Linked DNA regions of Drosophila melanogaster. The protein of the gene in region 1 interacts with the protein of each later gene in a pairwise test. Each region holds a gene or a part of one and is shown in the gene's direction. Other genes may lie near its edges.

Region 1 (3,375 bases):
TCGCTGCTGTCTATTTGTTGGGTGTCAGCTGGGCGTCGCCGGGGGTGGCACGCTGACACTCCCTCGCTGCTGTCTATTTCTTCGCCGCTGAAGACGTCGATGGTCGCTCACAAGTCCCCAGGCAGTGGGGACTCCAGATTCCTTCGCAGCCAGGGGGGCAGGACTTCTTTGGTTTTGTTAATGCTGGTGCTGGTGCTGGACATGCCTGGTATTTTGGAACTTCATTAATTGTGGGTATATTTTTAATATTATCTGAGTGAGTTTTCTCGAGCTTATGGGTCTTTAATTCTTGCTGATATTGCAACAAGTGGTCTAGCTCTGCATGTAGCTTTAGAGCTTTCGACCAAACCGGTGGCGTTTGCTGACCGTATATTAGCCACCTTACGTGGGCTATACGTTTATTCAGCTTAGTTTTCAAACCGCCACGGTGTTTGCCCATACTCAATAGAACTCTACTCACTCAGATTTTTCCTTGGTTTTTGCAGTTCCATTTAATTAGTCCAGTCTTCTTCCAGTCCAGTGTTCCTTTGTTCCTTTGTTTTCACCAGCTTTGGTCAATTCGTCCAGCGTTGGACGACTGTCACGGTCGCCATGTAATGATGAACTGCTTGTCACGATAACTAGTCGTCATAGTTTATGCTAAGCTATGCTATGCTCTCGATTCGTTAACATTTACACTTGTGTAATGATGAACTCCAATTAAGAACACAAGTCCGTTTTAAGTTTAAGGCAGCCGTCGGGCTGACATATATTTATTCAATTTCTTCTTTTGATTTTAGAGTAGGCAGAAATGGTTCTGTCAGCTCAACGTCTACAGAGTCTCTCCGATTTTACAGTTTTTTATATATTTGGACTTAGGCTAATCCGCGTAGCTGCGCTGCCGGGTACGCCAGCAGCGGAGCGGCGTTCTTATGTATATCTTATATATCTAGGCTTATCGGGAGAGCGAGATATGTATGTACGTATGTAATATGTATTTGGTCGGCGTGTGAATGCTGACCATGCACTTATACTTTGTGGCCTTCGAGTGGGTGATCATGTTACATCCGCCCTGGCCTAACTGCGTGCATAAACATAAACATAAACATAGCAACAAAGTGCTGCCATAAGTTAATATGCTATTTTATTTAATTGTTCTTAATATTGCATAGGCACATACTACTATATCAACAATGACGGTGAATTGGCTGACTGAATTGGCTTAGAAGGGGCTGGCCCATTGAGCTGCCAAGAGCCCATCGAGTTCGAGTAGCCGAAAAAGATAGAGCTCCGGGGCCGCCCAAGTGGTAATCCAGATGATTAATCACACTTTCGGCCGGCCATAAAACCAGAGCACGACCGGGGGCTAATAGCTGCAGTCAAGTGGAGCTGTTTCGCCATGAAACCACTGCGAAGTCGGACATTAAACTTGGGCCGTGCAACAGACGGGATGGGAATTCGTCTGGGCCAGAGAAAGAGCTACTGCCACAGCCACAACCGTAGTCATGCAGTGCAGTTTGCACTGTTCGAATAGCTCGAATGCCGCACAATGAATAACGTTGAATAATTAGCCCCCACATGCAACCCCACCCGAGTTGCGTGAGCAGGGACCCACCGCGGAATGGCCAAGACAATGCAATGCCTACTTTATTAGAGATAAATATTCCGAATAGTTGATGGAAGACAGACTTCAGCCGACTTCAACCGAATGGATCTCTTACGCACAAAGCTGAGATACGCTTCACTTCGACGTATTTAATGCGTAGATCGTCCGCTCGAGAGTGAAGGAACCACCACCATATCTGGTGGCTAAAGACTTCCGTATTTTTGGAGGTACTCGAAGTGACGTGCCTGTTTTGAAGCATAGTAGGAGTGATTTTCTAGCGGCTAAGATGGTAAACAAATGATAGGCTAACAACAAACATAACCTACAGATAAGAACTTAACTTGGTGGAACATTTAATTCAACGAAGGAGTGAATTGAACTACCTACATTGTATGGGAAAGCCACCTTGTTTGCACCCTAATGATGGGTAAACAGTACTGATTGCTGATTCTACCATGTTGACTCAACTGCGACCACTTGCATGCTCTTCGGCTATAAATATTTCGCGACCGCTCATCGAATTATAAATGAATTCAGTAAGATGAAAGCTTTTCTTGTGATTTGTGCTCTGACTCTCACAGCAGTCGCTACCCAGGCCCGAACGATGGATAGGTGTTCCCTAGCCAGGGAGATGTCCAAACTGGGCGTTCCCCGGGACCAGCTGGCCAAGTGGACCTGCATCGCCCAGCACGAGAGTTCCTTCCGCACCGGCGTCGTTGGACCGGCCAACTCCAACGGATCCAATGACTACGGCATCTTTCAGATCAACAACAAGTACTGGTGCAAGCCGGCCGACGGACGCTTCTCCTACAACGAGTGCGGCTTGAGCTGCAATGCCCTCCTAACCGACGACATCACCAATTCCGTGAAGTGCGCCCGGAAGATCCAGCGCCAGCAGGGATGGACTGCTTGGTCCACATGGAAGTACTGCAGCGGATCCCTGCCCTCGATCAACAGTTGCTTCTAGTCTCGCCCCCTCCCCCCCCTTCACACACTCATACTAAATGAAAGTTGTTGCCAAAGGAAGATGAGAAGAAGAGTTGTTTGAAGTACAAAAATGTATCTTCGAGATAAGTATCTGTGAGCTGAAGACATCTTAATCGGATAAAGTCGAACAATAGCCAGTTAGTGTTATAAATCATATAACTCCTCGTTGACTTTTTCGATATTCATGCACTTTAAGACTCATATTTCTCGAGTGTAATTGGTTCGTGATCTTTCAGCAATTGCAAAACTGTCTCCGATGGAAATGGAAATAGGAGAGCCTTTTTGGCTCAACAAGCGGCGAAAAGTGAAATTTTATATAATGGCCCACACATAACAGAGTCATTATGACAGTTGGCCTGGCCAAAGCGACTGAGATCTATTAGACATTACGGCCGCAAAGCGGAGCGTCAGTCTTGGCCAGTTGATGGCAAATGGCTGGCTGGTAAACAAGTTAATTTAATTTCCAGGCATAAAACAAATTACGTATGAAAAGTCGCCGTTATCGCGGCGTTTATTTATCATGCCCGTTGCGATGAAAACGCATAGTGTCTCTGGTGGCGAGTGCCAACGGACTTTGGCTCGGATCGAAACAATTTCGATTCAATTGCATCTATGGCAGAGCGGGGACGTGGACACGATGTAGGTCTATGGGATTGCCATTTGCGTCTAATCGCCGGAGATCAACTTTGCCATTTGGGGCTCGTTTAGGCCTGGCCAGATGGCAAAAAAAAATGGCAAAAGATGGCAAAAGGCAATGACAAGTTGGAGCCAGAGCCCAGAGCCTAATGTATTAATTTGTAGCG
Region 2 (3,902 bases), on another chromosome or scaffold:
TTGGCCATCTTGGGCTGGGGCAGGTTGTAGCCCTTCTTCAAGGTGGACGGCTTCTTCCAGGTGCCGAACAGATCGTTCAGGCGGGCGAAAGCCGACTCGGTCCAGATGACAAAGCGACCGACATGACCGCCGGGGGCCAGCTTCAGCAGATTGAGCTTGTCCACGTTGATGGTCTCAATGCCGGGGATGTTGCGGAAGGCCTTGCGCAGACCCTCGTCCTTGTCGTAGACCACCAGGGGACCACGGCGAGCGATGCGGCGACGGTCGCGCATGGTACCACGGCCAGCACGGAAGCGCTGCGACTTGTACACCTGCGAAATGAATGAGAAACAAGTTGATAGTGAGTATGTATATTCCAGGAATTCGGAAATAGAGAACATGAATACAACAGCTGTTGCTCTTCCGTTACCACGATGGAAGCCGTGAATCAAGTTTCAATCGTAACGCCAAGAAGAGCATTTTATCTGGCAACGCAGGAGATCCCTGCAAGCATCGGACAACCAGAAGAGTAGCCAGTTGCTTGCACGCTGCCAAGTAAGATTTAGAAAGCATCCGAAAAGTAGGAATCCAATAAAAAGTTATAACTTTGCAATTAAAACATCACAACTTCACGTTTTGTTAAATAAATACGTTGAAGTTGAATAGACGCACAGTTAAGTGACCTAACATTCTTCGGATTAAGTTCTTCATAGGTGTACAAAGTTACCCACCTTCTGGATGTCAGCCCAGATCTTCAGGCGACGCAGGAAGATGACAGCCTGCTTGGTCTTCTGGACCTTTTGCACCTCATCGGACACGACCAGCGGGAACTCGGAGACGCCGTCGATGACATGTCCCTTGGACTGGACCAGAGCTGGCACTCCTGAGGCGGCGATGGCCGACACCAGGGCGTAGCGACGCTGGTTGACATTCACCTTGCGGTGCCAGCGACGGAACGTCTTGGTGGGGGCGAACATGCGTCCACCACGGCACATGTTGCCGAAGGCTCCCTGGCCGGAACGGTGGGTACCGCCACCACGCACACGGGGAATACGGGCCACAGCACGTCCGGTACCCCAGGACTCGGCGGAGGTCTGGTGACCTGCAAACAGGAATTCAAACGGGTTAGATTCACACAAAAGAGGAGTTATAAACAGTTTACTCACCAGCCAGCTCGCTGACGGCGTAGGCCTGTCGGTTGTTGCGGCGGAGCAGCTGGTGAACCTCGTTGACCACATCCGGACGAATGGGCGCCTTGAACACTGCCGGCAGGCATATGTTCTTGTCCTTGGCTGGCTCGTTCTTTTCCGTGTACACGGAGACCAATGGCCTGGCGTTGCCTAAGCTCTGAAAGTGCACATGGTATTCGGGTTTAGTTCACTGATCATTTCACATCACAAAACACAACAAGCGCATTTCGCCATCGCCGCACATTCCAAACACGTGGAGGTTAGGGCGACACTTTTGCACTATTTTCGCATCGTTTCGTGTGTTAAATCCAATGTTTTGGGGTCTGCTGCGGTTGCGGAGTGCCTTGTGCTTCGTTTCTCACCATTTTCGTTGATTTTCAAACCCAATGAAAGGTGCTAAATATTCTGCAAACGCAGATACCGTCCTCTTTTTATTAAGAAGAACGAAGAAAGAAAGAGAGCTGCCGGAAATGGCTGCCAATCGCGTTCCACGGCGCATGGTTGCATTTGCTAACAGCAGCAAGTGTCAAGCTTACAGGGCTAATTGGACGCTGTCCAACACTTTTAGCTTTTTTTTTCTCTCGTAAGAGAAGTTTTTGTTTATATTCTCGCAATTAAACTATAATATTACAAATCTAAATTCGAATTTATCAATAACGTATTTTAGTTAAATTTATAAATTAGCAATGCGTTTTTAAAGAACAAGAATACAATTGTTGTAATTTAACCGCATAATAAATAATCAAACAATACATAATACATACATACGTTAAAAACTAACTTACACAACTTTTATTGGTGAGAAAACAACGCTTATTTTTTGCTTAAATGTTCATGTTAAAACAAAAAAATTTACTAAATAGATATATGGCTATTAATTAACAGCATTCTGTTATCCGTTTATATAGCTATAAAGTAGCTAAATGTGCCACACTAGTGCGAAGCGGCAATTGTATTTGTTTACTTGCGGAAAAAACAGTCTCAAAACACAGAAATTAATAATAAATAATGGCTGGCGAAGTTATTGTGGATGCTCTGCCCTACATAGATCACGGCTATGACGATGTGGGCGTCCGGGAATCGGTAAATATACGGATATCCATGTTGCACGTTGAAACTGACTTTGAAATGGCATCTTCTTCTTCCAAAGGCTCTCGCCATGGTGGAGGAGGAATGCCGGCGCTATAGGCCCACAAAAAATTACCTTGACCATCTGCCACTGCCCGCCAGCTCGCCCTTTGAGACTCCGCTGATGGCCAACGAGTTCGAGCGCATCCAGAACCGCCTGCCCATGGAGACGCTCTCCATGAAGCGCTACGAACTGCCACCGCCGCCATCGGGCAAATTGTCGGAGGTGTCCGCCTGGCAGGAGGCCATTGAGAACTCGATGGCCCAGCTGGAGCACCAGTGGGTGCGCTCTCTCAACCTGGAGCTAATGCTCGACTACGGCACGGAGGCATGGAAGTCCTACCTGGAGGTCTTCACCGCCATGCAGGCGAAGGCGCAGCTCCAGCTGCAGCAGCTGAAGAAGGACATTCAAGATGTCAACTGGCAGCGCAAGCAGGCGCAAACGCAGGCCGGCGAGCGACTGCGCTCCCTGGAAGCCCATTGGGTGCTGCTGGTCTCCAAGAACTACGAGATCGAGACGGAGTGCGTCGAGCTGGAAAAGATCGTCCATGCCGCCCGTCAGCAGCTGCGGAAGATTACCCCGCCGCCCAGCGCCAATGACACGGCTCCAACGCCGGAATACACGAATGGTTTCGACCAGAACGATTTGGCCGAGAGCAACGGCAGTAGCTCCAGCAATCCAGATCCAAGCCAACCTGGCGATGATGGAACAGATGCCGATGGTGACAGCAAGGAGGAGGACAAATCCGAGGCACAGGAGGAATCTTCCAATGGATCAACGTAGATTTAGTACACTGAGCGAAAGCATGAAGCAAGTTAAAGAAAAACTTACGACTGTAACTAAATATAAAGGATATTAAAAAAAACAGCTAAAAATCTAAGATTTATCTTTATTTTTCAAAATCGTTGCAGAGAAATAGTGATCCTCTTCTTTTTGCTCTTATATCAGGGGAATGGACAGCTAGTAAATTTTAAATAATTTCAAGATTAAATATTTTATTATTTCAAATTGGTAAGGTAGTGTTTTGTGCTGTAAATTTTTTATACGAAGAATGGCATTTTTCAATGTTTCTGCTACGGTCACACCAATTGGATGTTTACAAATTTCGTTTACGAATTAAATAAAAAAAAATATAAATAAATACAGAAACAACTAAGGATGGCCCACTACAAAGGTGCCGCCAGCGAGGCGGGCCGTGCAGCCCAGCTGATGAAGAAGCGGGAGATCCAGCAGCAGGAGATCGAGTTTCGCAAGAAGAAGATCGAGGAGGAGCTCAAGCTGGACAAGATTGAGAACAAGTTTGCCACCCACTACGATGCCGTGGAGCAGCAGCTCAAGTCCTCGACCATTGGTCTGGTCACCCTCGACGAGATGAAGGCCAAGCAGGAGGATATAGTGCGGGAACGGGAGAAGAAGCTCGCCCAGAAGAAGGACGAAAAGGATCGGGAGAAGCAGCGCGCCCTGGAGGCCATTCAGGCGGAGAAGAACAAGCAGAAGCGGCAGATCCAGGCGCTGTCCTTCAACCTGGACGACGACGAGGAGGAGGAGGAGGAGGACGACGAGGATCACGATAAGAAACAGCTGAAGATTAAGCAGGAGGATCA

Evidence for each region.
Region 2: the proteins of LysP (region 1) and BCAS2 interact in a two-hybrid assay, tested with the Drosophila melanogaster proteins (one large-scale study listed by BioGRID).

What each region holds. Positions count from the first base shown.
Region 1 is NT_037436.4:1,217,434-1,220,808, reverse strand, and holds LysP (lysozyme P), read left to right. Parts: upstream 1-2,112; 5' UTR 2,113-2,126; coding exon 2,127-2,552; 3' UTR 2,553-2,727; downstream 2,728-3,375. UniProt on the Drosophila melanogaster protein: Unlikely to play an active role in the humoral immune defense. May have a function in the digestion of bacteria in the food.
Region 2 is NT_033777.3:27,920,549-27,924,450, reverse strand, and holds BCAS2 (BCAS2), read left to right. Parts: upstream 1-2,094; 5' UTR 2,095-2,177; coding exon 2,178-2,252; intron 2,253-2,319; coding exon 2,320-3,081; 3' UTR 3,082-3,168; downstream 3,169-3,902. Other genes in the region: RpL4 (ribosomal protein L4), read right to left, coding at 1-311, 711-1,081, 1,146-1,326, 1,532-1,534; CG12259 (uncharacterized protein), read left to right, coding at 3,457-3,902.